2 linked regions of the Arabidopsis thaliana genome follow. The protein of the gene in region 1 interacts with the protein of each later gene in a pairwise test. Each region holds a gene or a part of one and is shown in the gene's direction. Other genes may lie near its edges.

Region 1 (8,115 bases):
TACATCATCAAATTTAACAGATATATTACAAATAGTGATAAAAATGTGACGAAACATATATGTCGTTTACTAAATCGTATTCAATATAAACATTTATCGGTACTCGGTGAATTAATTTTAAAGAAAAAATGATAAAGTAATAATAATTTCACAAAAATGTGCAATTGTACATGAAGATTGAAGAACTCTATTAGAAACATTAATTTCATGTGAATTTATATTTTAGATATTTAGATTGTAATAAAAAAAAAAATTGTCCCTATTGGTGATGCTATGTTAACAAACTCAGCCTAAACCAAATAAGGATGTAAATACATATATGTTGTGGAAAGAAAAAAAAAAGAGGCATAATCATGGTAAAATACATGTTGTGTTACGAAACGTAACTATATATATACAGTAGCTTTGGATCATTGCTAAAATTCTACGAGGGTTGCGTAGAAAACTTGATCCATCTCACTATTTTATGGATTACCTTTCAAAATGTATAACGTTTTTTGTAATAACGTGGATTTTGCTACGAACATGATGAATCAAGAGTGACGCATTTTGTTGTGGAAGAAAAAGTGAGACATGTCACTATGGAGATGGGATCAATAGTTATTTAATTACATAATTAAAATATAATTAGAATATTATATAAGTCATTAAGTAATTGTTGGTAGAAAGGACAATAGGGGTTTAGGGGTGGGGTCATGCCAGTTTGGGTAAAAAAGGATTAGCAGAAGAGAGATCAGAGAGATGCCACGTGGAGCCTACGGCCAATGGGAGAGCGATAAGCTTATCAAAGATTTCAAAGTGCGGAGGGTAAAGTGGGCGACGTTGCTTTTCCACGTGTCAATGTTTCATTGGTAGGAAAAGTTAAAAGTTAGATTTCCGCTTAGTCGGTATTTGGGTCCCATACTGTCTTCGCAACTTGGCCCTCTCTCTTGCGCTCAGAAGGTTTTGTCTTTTAAGTTTCTTCTTGATTTTGGTTTTATCCTTTGTTATTTTTAGTCTGGTCCGTATTTTCTCCGTATCTTGTTTCAAATACATTCTCTCGTAAAGAAACCGCTTTTTTTGGTTTAGTACTGAATGATAAAAGTATTGTTTTCGTACGAAATTTATGTCAACCGCCCTAGTTCTAGAGGATCACCTAGACCATATGCATGGGACTTGGTCGAGCTTCGATGTGGATTAGCCCGAGTTATCAATAGAATACTGAAAATTGGCATAATTAACTTTGATTTAATGGAAATGCGTTTTTATAATATACTGAAAATTTAACAGACATGATGATTGATGAGTAGTAAATTTCAAATGGTATAACAAGTTTAATTGTTTTTTTAGTAAGTTATATATACTGACCAAGACGTTTTTGTTTGAGTCAGTGACTATCACTCTTTGTTTTTACTCAACTTAATTCCATAGATCCTGGTACTTATAACGTGTACAATCTAGAATCACAAGCGTTTAGAGATAGTGATAATTAGCTTGGCTACTTTCTCAGCTGTGTTGTTGCTTGATCGAAGGTGGAAAATGAGAGTGGTCATATTGAAGTTCTTGCTTAGTGCTATTGTTAATAGAACGGTTGGAGAGCCGGCCAAGCTTATGGATAATATATTTATATATGGAGAATGAGAATAACATAAAGATGAGACATGGTTGAACCTAATTAATCAAAAAAACAATTTACATGAATTTTTTTTCTTTAAAAGATTTCAATCTGTAACATGCATAGAAACTTGTCTCATAACCCTCGTAGTCGTATAGCAAGCATTAGTTTTATGATAGAGATGTTTCGGTTACGAAAGAAAATTTAAACCAACTTAAGTGGTTGTAAATCACGTTGTAATTTTTATGTTTATGTACAATTTCAAATTACAAATCTTCATTTTTAATTATAATCTTTGCCACTGAAATTCACGATAATATCACTAAGGTTCGATGCAATTCGTCAAACATTTCACGTACTAAAATTTGTTCGGCGAGTGATGGAGACATAGATGTAAATGGAAACGTGTACTCGTAAATTGTGTCATCTTTCGTGGCCCATAAAATTGAGATGGAGTTTTATCGTTTTCTATATCAAATAATGTAAATAACTGAATAAAAAAGGTTTTATTATAAAAAGTACCAAAGAAATGGACCGTAGTCACCATTTACATGGTTACATGGTTACATGGCGCGACACGTAGTGTCACTTAATGCTGCAAGTGTTTTTTCCTCTTTGTTTTTTGCCTCCCTGAATATTTTAAATTTGGTATATAAAATATTTCTGCTGACGAGTTTTAGTTACTCTAGTTTCTAAAATGGTCTAGAAAAAGTTGTGATATATAAATATAATAACTCGGTAATGGCTACGTACAGAGTCAGCCACGTAACACTAAATGGATGTGTCATGGACCCGTATTACACTCCCCATTATACACGGATAGCGCATACATGTAGTAGAGAATGATAATGTAGTTTTAACCTCTCAACAGGGAGATAAATAATTATGTATTTCGTTTTCTAAAGTCATAGTTAATATAAGTGATAATAAATAAGTTTTGACTTGTTTCCAAACCACTTAACAAAATGATAGTTATTTTTCTGTCCCCGAATCATTATGAATAATTTTCTAGTGGGAATTAGCTATTTCAGATTTGATAAACAAAATTTCTTTCTTTAATCAATATTATGTTTAATTGTAAAATGTACACACAATCCACAACTAGAAAGACGAATCCAAAAACTAAAGAAAATAGGAAATACTCGACCTTTATTTTCTAACGTCAATCCACCACATGATATTTGTGGTTTTTAGCGTAATAATTCAGTTCTAACACACCACATGATTTGCTAAGCTACCAGTACTACTTTCTTTGTTAGGCCGTGAGAAATTGAATATTCCTTCCTCTTATTCTGCATATTCTTTGTATTTGTTTTGTTACCTACCTCTTCTAGTGTGTAGCCTACGTAAATATACACTCAAGTTGTTTTGATGTAACCGGTTTTCTCCACCGAAAATCGTATTGTGAACATAAGTGTTTTTTAGTTTTTTTGTCTAGTTGATTACACTACATATCAATTCATACTTATTATAATTACACTGATTATATATAAATGCATGAATGAAAACTCGAATTCGATATATTACGATTCGTCAAAAAATGTATATCTAGTGAATTCTGGTATCAATTAGAGGTCTGAATTTGTTCAATATCGTCCACAATTCCCTACCTAAAAAATTAGAGCTTTTTGGACCAAATCCAAAAATGGATCTAAAAAGTGAAAACCAAAATATTCCTTTAAGAATCTACACAGATTCGAACCAAACCGGATTAAACCGAATAGTCTACGGCACGTGTGGAAACGCGCTGCGTTTCAAAAACATTTGGGGTATTTTTGTAATTTTTGTAATTTTTAGGATCAGGGTTTTAGGAGAAACCCAGGAAGAAGAAGAAGATCGACATGGACTTAGAACACCAAACCATGGAGACGTTCCTGCGATGGGCAGCAGAGATTGGCATTTCAGATTCTATTGATTCTTCTCGATTTCGCGATTCGTGTCTTGGACATTCTCTTTCCGTCTCCGACTTCCCTGACGCCGGCGGGTGCGTGGAATTGAATTCGAACTCTTTCATTTCTAAATCCCTAAAATCTGTCTTCTCATTGCTCGATTGATGCAATCAGGAGAGGTTTGGGAGCTGCTCGTGAGCTCAAGAAAGGAGAATTGGTTTTGAAAGTCCCCAGAAAAGCCTTGATGACTACAGAATCCATAATTGCTAAAGATCTAAAATTGAGCGATGCTGTTAATCTTCACAATTCACTTTCTTCGACTCAGGTGCTCTCTATTTCTCTGACCATTTGAATCTGTTCTGTTTTTGTTTCTGAGAAAAATCTTAAAACCTCAGAATTGTTGAAATTTGCAGATACTGAGTGTATGCTTATTGTATGAAATGAGCAAGGAGAAGAAGTCTTTTTGGTATCCATACTTGTTCCATATACCTCGTGACTATGATCTCTTGGCTACATTTGGGAATTTCGAGAAGCAAGCTTTACAAGTTCTGTGTTTACTACTACTACACTTTTGTGTTTTATTTTGATTTTTGAATAGGTTAGATCTCATGTTATTGGATTGAGATCATGTTCCTTTCTTTTCTGTTGATTTCAAGTCTAAAAGATGGGATTTTTTTCATGTCCTTAGGTTGAAGATGCTGTTTGGGCTACAGAAAAAGCCACAGCCAAGTGTCAGTCTGAGTGGAAAGAAGCTGGTTCGTTAATGAAGGAGTTAGAGCTGAAGCCTAAGTTTCGGAGTTTCCAAGCATGGCTATGGGCTTCTGCAACGGTAAGAACACTTCACTTTATCACACGAAAGTTGCTCGAGAAATCGATGATGGTTGATTAGAAAGGTTTGTGTAAACTTACAGCTACAAACTTTACTTCTGTTTGAAGATATCTTCACGAACACTGCATGTACCATGGGATAGTGCTGGGTGTTTGTGTCCTGTAGGGGACTTGTTCAACTACGATGCTCCTGGAGATTATTCGAATACCCCACAAGGTCCTGAGAGTGCTAATAATGTAGAGGAAGCAGGACTTGTTGTTGAGACACACTCTGAAAGGCTCACAGATGGTGGATTCGAGGAAGATGTCAATGCTTACTGTCTTTATGCAAGAAGGAATTATCAGCTAGGAGAACAGGTACAAGTCCTCAACTAGCTTTTGTTACAGCTGCGAAACTAATGAAGCGGAAGCACAACGTAGAAAATATACTGAATGGTGAGGATTGTATTTGTGGGTGTAGGTTCTTCTATGTTATGGGACTTACACGAATCTAGAGCTTCTTGAGCACTATGGGTTTATGTTAGAAGAGAACTCAAATGACAAGGTCTTCATTCCTCTAGAAACCAGCCTATTTTCTCTAGCTTCTTCATGGCCTAAAGATTCTTTATACATTCATCAAGACGGTAAGCTGTCTTTTGCGCTGATATCCACGTTGAGACTGTGGCTGATCCCACAGAGCCAGCGTGACAAGTCAGTTATGCGCCTTGTTTACGCTGGATCTCAGATATCTGTGAAGAATGAGATTCTTGTCATGAAGTGGATGTCAGAGAAATGTGGAAGTGTTTTAAGGGATCTGCCAACTTCTGTCACAGAGGACACTGTGCTTCTTCATAACATTGACAAACTCCAAGATCCAGAATTGCGTTTGGAGCAGAAAGAAACAGAAGCTTTTGGCAGCGAAGTACGTGCTTTTCTTGATGCAAATTGTTTGTGGGATGTCACTGTATTATCTGGGAAACCTATAGAATTTTCCAGGAAAACTAGCAGGATGCTGAGCAAATGGAGATGGTCTGTGCAGTGGAGGCTAAGCTACAAGAGAACTCTAGCAGATTGCATCTCTTATTGTAATGAGAAAATGAATAATCTCTTAGGTACCCAAGATAGGCTTAGAGATTTGTAACTTGAATCGAAACCGATCCTTCTTAATCTATCAATGCTCAAAAAAGGATTTCTGATCATTCTTTTTTACATTCATAGAGAAGTAAAAAAAACAATTACCTGCTAAAATCTACTGTTACATCTTTCATCAATTGCAAGTATGAATCAAAGATAGTAAGCTGAAGCCAAACAGATGAGGAGATCAGTAAGGATGAGATCAACAACGTCAAAGACGAACTTTGGAGCAAACAAACCCCAAACCTGCAAGAACATGAGAGCAATGTTTTAGTCACAGATACAAAACAAGAACCTTTGGCTTGAGTGAATCTTGCTGTGTTTACCATCAGATGTCTTCTCTGGATGGTGACGCAGAGAATTGTAGCTGTGACTGTGGTTGCAGATATAACTCCAAAGAGCATATACATCTGATGCGGTTAAAAAAGTTATGATTTAACACATTGTCACTGAATCTACTAGAATAAACCAAAAACGAATCAATATGAAGATGTCTTACTTGAAACAACTGGTGGCGCTTTTCGCCATGAGCCTGAGGAGTTTGAGAGTGAAAAGGTATGAGGAGAGGAAGTCCAAATACAGAAAGGATGATCGAGAATCCAAATGTCTCGATTGTCAAAAGAATGGCTTGTCGTATAAGCACAAACTCATCAAACCTGAAGAAAGTATGTCAACAAAACCACCATATTGAATTAAGACTCCATTGTAGGCTGAGTTTATGAAACTTGGACCTACCCCACAAATGCAGCTCCATAACGAAGGCCATCAAAGGCGCACCAATGCCCGCTGGCGAAGAACATGCATATAGAAAGAAGACTCCATTGCACCACACAGAGAGGATTTAGTTTTGAGAATTTGCTCTGTCCATCTGATTTGGTTCTTCTCTCTACACCCTCCAGCCTCATTATACAATAGCCTACATACATTTAACTGCATCAGTTAAACCTTAATGACCTGAGTTGCCATCTTTATTATAAAGCTTGTTTGCTTTGAGAATCATCAAGTGAGAAGAAAAAAGTTACCAGCCACTAAATATACTAATGCAAGCATTGATCCTTGCTTCCCCGACAATAGAATTATTGGCGAACTACAAGCAGATACAAGAGCGACAGTTCTGATGGCCCAATTCTTGTCTTTTTCTGTGCAAAACATACGTGCAGAAGCTAAAAGGCAGAGCTGCACCAATCCAATTACATAAACCGTTTGAGGAATGCGGTTTCTTCCTCCCGTCACTTGAAGCAACTGATCCAAACCAAATATCTTGCTCTCCGAAGCCCAAAGCAATGCTATGAAAAAGTAGCTTACCATACTACCAACAGTAACATACTTCCACACCCCCTCATTGGGTGCTTTCGCAATGGCTACGTAGAGCACGCAAATGAGTATAACCACTGACAGAATTGGTGCAATTTCAATCGCATATGTCAATGCTGGATGGTCTGGAGCTATCCCTAGCATCCACGATGGTGAGCTACTCATAAACTGAGAAGTTGCAGCTTGCTTTGTTAGCCCAATATCTATAGAAACTCTGAGAACAAAAACCATAGCAAGAAACATAAAAGCCTGCAGACAAGATAATTGAAAATATTACAATCCAACAAGCAGATTTTAAGGTAATAACCAGAAGCAACAAAGACATGTCATAGATAATACTGACTTCTTTCCGCATTGTTTTTCTCATAACAGAGTACCGCAGCTTGATAAGTCCAGTTGTTGCCAGGAGAAAGTTTGCAACTTTTCCTTCTTCCACTATTGACAAAAAAATTCTCTATTAGCATAAAGAAAAAGAGAGCAAAACGCTTAATCTAAGATTACTTGAAACTTACAGATATAGCTATTTGAAAGAAAGCTGCAAGCTCGAATCGTTACTATAAAGAGAGTGAAAGCTGCACCAGTGGATAACCAAGAACCCACTGCATAAGATTTGTCGCCATGGAAAACAGCAAGAAACTGAAGGATGAGTGATATAACCAATATCCCAAACCCAGTAATCATTAGATTCAGATTGAACTCTGTCCACTTAGACCGGGCAAGTTCAACAACGCTTGAGAAGAAATTCAAATATTCAGCAATTTGCTCTTTAAGAAGGGCAGATATATCTGTACTGCCGTCATCTCCATTTCTATCCATCAATATGTGTTTGACAGAATTGGACCAATTCTGTTCTGCTGCAGAATAGAGATCTGATATCCTTGACATATCATCGGAAGAGAAACCAACAACCGATGAATTAGAATACACATCTATATATCTTTTCACCTGCATATAAATAGAATTGGAAACTGAGAGTCCGAAAACAGAACATCGTGACAAGATATTCTTTCAAGTTTTTGAACTGTTACCTGCCAAGCATTCACACAAAGTACATCAACGTAATGTTTCATCCACTCGTTAGCAGCCGATTGGGTGCCAAAATTGCCCAAATCTGACTTATCCAAATTCCAGCTACTGGAACCAAGGGCATATAGCTCAGGGTTGACATGCCCAATGCTGAAATTTTATTATACATAGAAATATTTCGAATATTAATATGTGCGGATGGATATTTTCCTGAATAGAAGCAGGAAACAAAATTTGACAATGATCCTTACAAGGCACCTTCCGAAAGGAAAGGATATCCCAAGCAAAGCTGACAATGTTGCTGCAAAATCAAGCTGCAAATAACCCAAAACAATTAAGTTTTGCAATGAG
Region 2 (6,525 bases), on another chromosome or scaffold:
TCAGAATCCGTCTTTTTTTGTTTATGTAGATTGATGCATCTATTTTCTCTAATTTAGTTTGGTGGAAAAACCAGTTTACACTGATGCAAGAGGGAAGTTATTTTTCGGAATTTGAACATGATTAAGTACTGATATGTTTTGTGGATGCAGGAGAGCATGGAGCAAAGGAAGCTAGAATTACGAGGTAGACCGGCATTGAACATGACAATACCGATGAGTGTTTTTGAAGGATCTGGAAAAGATCATCATCATTTTGGGCGGGTAGTAGGTGAAAACGGTGAAGAAGTGTTGGATGAAGAGAATGGAGAGCAAAGAGAGGTTCAAGTGAAGGTCCTAGTGAAGAGAGGAAACAAACAACAAACAAGGCAAATGCTAATCCCGAGTGATTGTGCTCTAGTGCAGAGCACAAAACAGAAAGAAGCTGCAGAATTGGAAGAGAAACAAGACATAAAGAGGTTAGTACTCGAGTACAATGAGAGGGATGAAGAGGAAGCAAATGGGTTAGGAACACAGATATTGAATTGGACTTCTGGAGGAAGCAGAGGATCCACTCGAACCGGGGAAGGCAGTGGGAAGAGTGGTGGGTCTCGTCACCGGTTTTATTATCATCAAGGAGGTGGTGGTTCGTATCATGCCCGACGAAAGTAACTTCATCCGGTTTAGGGGGAAAATTTGATAATCTTGCCTGTGTCAAAAGCGGTAATAGTTGGCTTTTTGCTACGGCTGAAAAGGACAATTCACAAGAAATCTCATGAGTTTCTGTGACAAAAGTTGATGTATTCGACTTCACATTCTGTAGTGTTGGTTAAGTAAATCTCTGTGTGTGACCCTTTTTGTCCAGCTTGGTTAAATCTTGCATTTAATGATTATTTAGCATCATTCTCATGTGAAAAAAAAAAAGAAGAAGAAGAAGAAGAAATTACTAAGTAAGGAAAGAGAATGATGACGAGAAGAAAACTTTTTAAGATTTGGTCTTACCATATACGGAAAGGCCAGATTTAGTGTGCAGAGGACGGATTAATAAAGATTCCTTAACAAATCTAGTTTTTGTACTTTCATCAAATCATGAGAAAATGGACGGTTGAGATATGCACACGAACTTATCATCCAACGTTTCTAAATTATTGATATCTAGGTGTCCATATAAACATGTACTTGGTGATTGCTGAATTGTTTATACAAACGAATGACATAATAAGTCACACTCTCTCTTCATTAAGGTTTCTAATTCTACCTCTCTCTCCCCTCCACATACAAAAGTGGTAGTTGGCTTTATTGGACCGACGCTTAGGTCCCCAACACGTTCCATTTCACTCCATTATTGTATTCATTGACATATCTATTCAAAAAGAGATTTTGTATGGTTTTTATTGTGGTGCAGAAAAATTGATACCCGATTTGGTCTACCAAAATAATTTTCCTCATAATGCATTCATGTTCGGGTGTCCCCACTCGTGATATAAATTCATAATTTTCTCAATCTGTAAGTAATATTCGAAAAGAGTAATAGTTTATACAAATTACATTGTGATAGTATTATTAGACTATTAGTAAAGAATATACACACACATATATACTATTCATATTCCCGTATATCAAATTTTCAGTAGTCATATATTCATACGAACGCGTACTTACTATTCAGACTATATATACACGAATCTCCGAATATCTTGAAAACGTATAAGACCGAGCTAGTAATAGATATTGGCTAAGATATATTTTGGGTAAGTCGTTCTTATATTTTTTCGAGATGTTCGGAAATTGGTTTATACACATGTTTAAATATAGGAAAAAGAAAAAAAATAACGCAATCAATAAATTAATAAATAGAGATGTCTGAAAAGTAGCCAAAAACTAATAAATCAGTGTGTAGACAATCGCACTGAACAACACGTCCCACGTTCTTTTTCTTCCCTGTTTTAGATAGACTCTTAGAGTCTCTCTAGAGTCACCGGAACAATCACAAAAGCGACGACATATTACTCATTCCTACAAATACTCATGTTGGACCTCAACCTCGGAATCTTGTCGACACACAACGAAGATGAAGATTGCAAAGTACCAACTTCCATCTTCATTCAAGAAGAAGATTCCATTAATCCCTCAAACGACAACTTGTCTTTGATTACATTTGGAATCCTTAAACGAAACGTCGAAATCCTTCCTCCTCCCCCTCCTCCTCCTCCTCCTCCTCCTCCTTCGGAAAATGAACTCTCCGGCCCCGGAAATGAGTGGTTGGATCTTTCGTCGATGCAAAGAAATAAACAAGAAACGTTGGTGATGAAGAAAAAAAGTCGACGTGGCCCAAGATCAAGAAGCTCTCATTATCGTGGCGTTACCTTTTACCGTCGAACCGGCCGTTGGGAATCTCATATTTGGTATTCATTCATAAACTTTAAGTTATAAAATATATTTTAATTAGTTTTGAGATTAACACTTGGTTTTGGGATTTATGTGTAGGGACTGTGGAAAACAAGTTTATTTGGGTAATTAGATGAGATTTTCTATTTCTCTTACTATTATATTAAGGTTTAAAACCTTCTTGGATAAGAGAATTCTGAAAAGAGTAAACCAAATGATGAAAGATTTTCACTTTTTCAGTTTTGTCTTTTGTTTGGTTAAAAACAGGTGGTTTCGACACAGCCTACACAGCCGCAAGGTGTAAGAAATAGTAACAGATGTTACATGACATAACATTCGTCCTTTCAAAAATTCTTCATTTTTTCTTTTTTGGACATTTTAGTTTATATCTTTAGAGAAATATTAGTTGACTTATATATTCAAATACATATCAGAGCGTACGACCGAGCTGCTATCAGATTCCGGGGACTCCAAGCAGATATCAACTTTATCGTGGATGATTACAAACAAGACATTGAAAAGGTTTTTTTTTTCATATAACTTATTGCTTCCTATAAAGAGACAGAGAAGTTGGACGTTCGAATACTATAATATGGATATTTTGAATGATGTGGTAGATGAAGAATTTAAGCAAAGAAGAGTTTGTGCAATCTCTTAGACGAGCGAGTGCAAGCTTAGCAAGAGGAGGTTCTAAATACAAAAACACCCATATGAGAAATGATCACATCCATCTCTTCCAAAACAGGTTCGATTCGTTACTCTTCTCGCGGGTACAATTTCATTCACTATTAACCGTGACCAGTTGATTCCTATCGCGTATATGATTCACACATATAATGCATACGATTTGTAAAAGTGTTTGTATGAATACTCATAGGGGATTGAATGCAGCAGCAGCAAAATGCAATGAGATAAGAAAGATGGAAGGGGATATTAAGTTGGGTGCCCATAGTAAAGGTACTTTATAAATGTAGGGTCACGGCTGTAAATATACATACTAAATCATTGTTATCATTTAGGTGAAAGCTAAAAACCCTAACCACAACTTCACTTTGACACATGTTGCACACCTTTGATTTGATCAACCAAACCCTAGCTAGCTAGCCTTACCTTTCAGAATCATTCTCGTTCAAAATTCAATGCATATTAGTTTATAGATTTTAATCAATTTTTTTTTTTTTTTTGAAAGATTTAAACTTTAATGCACAACGACAACAGTAACACAAACCACTAAACTATATCTTATTCAACTTGATCAATATTTTAATTTAAGACATTACGACATGATTTACGAAAAGCTTTTAACGTTTTCAGGAAATGAGCACAACGATCTCGAGCTAAGTCTTGGGATATCTTCATCGTCAAAAGTTAGAATTTTGGAACCAGCAGATTATTACATGGGTTTGAATCGATCGGTGACGAGTTTGCATGGGAAGCCGTTGCCGGGATATCTACCGATCACAGAAATTAAACCGTTAAAGACAGTTGTAGCATCATCAGGATTCCCTTTCATTACCATGATCAATCCTTCTTCTTTGTCCTTATCTTGTTTTGATCCATGAGGTGATCACTATTTACTTTTAAAATTTTCCCCTTTTTATTGATAATCTATTGAATGACGGAATGATTATGTGACTTATATCTTTTTATAAACCATATTCTTGTGGAATCAGGAATTTTGTGCCAATAAAAAAAGACAAAGAACCATCATGTACTATGTTGTCAACGATGATAATTCCCAAGTGTGTGAAAGTTATAGTGTAAGTACTAGTGAGTACTCGTGAGGTTAGTAACATAAGACACGTGCATAATTGCAAACAAACAACTTTGCCGAAAATTTGTACAATGGTTAAGAAAAGAAAAGAGAGTATTGAATGATCAAAGAAAAGGAGATGAATGGGACACGTCGTCGTTTGTAATTAAAGTACAATGTCGTATTGGGTCGTATAATATCCGCTTGCTTCACCACATTCACTTATTTCTTATCCCCACTTTTCCAACTTTTCGACCCTTTTTTTTTGGGATTTCAATAAATAAACTAACAAAACAGAAGATAGAGAAAATTTACTATCCTTACATTGCAATTTTATACCTAAATAACCCAAAACAGTGGAAGAGACGAAAAAAAAAGGTGTGAAATCTTGTGGTGTTGCCATTTGCCAATGCTTTTGCTTCGATGTGCCACACTCAATCCAAGCGAGCAAGGGTAATAAGACCTAAAGTGGCCTCGACCTTTGTTTTCTTGGGCCTTAGCCGTAGGCCCAAACTTCTCTCGAGTCGTTCATGGAGATCCATCAGGGACACGTGCCATTAGTCTGTTTAGTTATAAATTTTTATGTATAGTTTGCATTTAGGTTAGTTTGGAATTAGATTAATGGTATAATTAATTTATGTTATATATAATGTTAATTTTTGAGGGCCTCGCGGGATCCATTCGAACTTCCTCTGCCGACAAAAAAGAAAAGAAGAAGACGACGTTTATATGTGTATCTCCCCAGCTAAGTGGAATCAGAGCGTGTAAAAATTATTCATCGGTGCGAGTTCTCTCTAACCTTTGTTTGTTTGTTCATGGTGGGCTCTGGTTTCCTCTTTTAGAAGAAAATTGTTAGGGCGAGAAGAAAAAAATTGAATATAGAATGAATATCTCTTTTTAAGGGTTTATGGTTTTGCTGCTCTAACCTTGGATTTTAGTGTATTGTTTTTGTTCTTCAGTAGTTGAAATTTCGAAGCACTAGCATAAGAGAATGGGAGCAGAAGAAGTGGAGACTGCTGACTTAAGCGACAAAGCTTTGGTGTCTGCCATTAGAGAGGTCCTTGCATCTGCCCAAAGTGTGAGTCTTGCATAAATGTTGCTTCTTCCACATGTTCACATATGTTTCTCTGTGTGTGTGTTCTTTAAAATTAAAAGTATTTGTCTTTTGCTAAATCCAGGGGGATACCGATCAATATAATGAGCTTGTTCAGTTAATGTACATCAAAAAGAAGAAATCTGGTGACGATGCTATGGCACAGCCAGAGGTGCCTGATGATGTCGATGTTGTGGCTCAGCGAGAGGTGTGTCTTATGACAAATCCATTCTTTCTTTTTTTCGGTTGTTGCTAACTAAGACAATCTTCATTTCTCATTCGCTTTGCAGACACTCTTGAAAATTCTATCACACTCTGTTGCTTGCTTAGATGACGTTCACCATAACCACCTTCTTCAACTTGTAACTTTTATTTATCTATCTATCTATTACACACACATACCTTAATTACCTTCCTCTGACTAATTTCATCACATTCTATTGTCTTTAGATTCTTGGAACGAGAATTTGGGATCACAAACCTAATGTAATATATGCATTGCTGGACTTAATCATATCACTGGTATTATAACAGCTCAGCAACTATGTACCTCTCTCATATCATCATCAACCATATATATTATCTGCTTACGGAGCTTAACAGCTTTTGTGCTTTTGTTGTTTTCCATCTCTAGGCCACTACTAGTGGAAAGCATCTGAGCTCTTGTTTAGATACGCTCGTCTCTAATTTACGTTCGCAACCCCGCAAACTCGACAATAAGATGCTGGAAGTTCTTTCCAGGGTGCACGCAGCTCTTCACAAGATTTCTTATTTAGTTCCCCTTGCTCCCTCTATATTACTGCCCATACTCGCCCAGAGTATGCCTAGCGTACACGACAAAGCTCGCGTATGTTTTTTATTCTGTTAAAATCAATGTAACAGCTGTCCCATACATGTGGTTAACGAAATGACAAAACTATTTTATTGTCTTGCAGTTGCAGGTTGTAGTGCCATATGTGAAGAACTTGTTGAAGTTGGAGAACAGCTCAATCATCGGAAAAGTTGTTGGCAAGGATATTCTTATGATGGTGATGGGGAGGTTCCGAGATCTCGATGTAAGTGGACGGAACGAATAATTGTATTTTCCATACAAGTATAGTACTATAGTTAGTTGATGATATGCTTGATCATCTTTGTAGTCGGAGATTGAGTGCGATGATAATCTCCAAAATGACTCCAGTCTAGCAATGTTTGATATGGAACTTGACGTTGCAGTTGAAGGCACTCTAGTTTCTAAATTGTTGGACGATTTAATGGTCGAATCTTTTAATCATCTTAAATCTTGTCAAGATGCTGGTCGTCTGGATGAGGTATG

The links. Proteins that work in one complex are often made in the same cells at the same time.
Region 2: the proteins of SDG40 (region 1) and SNZ interact in a two-hybrid assay, tested with the Arabidopsis thaliana proteins (one large-scale study listed by BioGRID).

What each region holds. Positions count from the first base shown.
Region 1 is NC_003076.8:5,663,419-5,671,533, forward strand, and holds SDG40 (SET domain group 40), read left to right. Parts: upstream 1-3,404; 5' UTR 3,405-3,435; coding exon 3,436-3,578; exon of another isoform or gene 3,579-3,657; coding exon 3,658-3,808; intron 3,809-3,896; coding exon 3,897-4,028; intron 4,029-4,171; coding exon 4,172-4,312; intron 4,313-4,419; coding exon 4,420-4,668; intron 4,669-4,771; coding exon 4,772-5,431; 3' UTR 5,432-5,489; downstream 5,490-8,115. Other genes in the region: AT5G17250 (Alkaline-phosphatase-like family protein), read right to left, coding at 5,575-5,670, 5,751-5,834, 5,924-6,080, 6,160-6,340, 6,447-6,987, 7,082-7,173, 7,251-7,683, 7,767-7,914 and 1 more.
Region 2 is NC_003071.7:16,386,411-16,392,935, reverse strand, and holds SNZ (Integrase-type DNA-binding superfamily protein), read left to right. Parts: upstream 1-1,759; 5' UTR 1,760-2,004; coding exon 2,005-2,381; intron 2,382-2,463; coding exon 2,464-2,489; intron 2,490-2,631; coding exon 2,632-2,662; intron 2,663-2,798; coding exon 2,799-2,886; intron 2,887-2,981; coding exon 2,982-3,109; coding exon of another isoform or gene 3,110-3,170; exon of another isoform or gene 3,171-3,241; coding exon 3,242-3,321; intron 3,322-3,678; coding exon 3,679-3,926; 3' UTR 3,927-4,245; downstream 4,246-6,525. Other genes in the region: AT2G39260 (regulator of nonsense transcripts UPF2), read left to right, coding at 151-648; AT2G39240 (RNA polymerase I specific transcription initiation factor RRN3 protein), read left to right, coding at 5,109-5,195, 5,296-5,418, 5,501-5,572, 5,661-5,732, 5,845-6,057, 6,146-6,265, 6,350-6,520.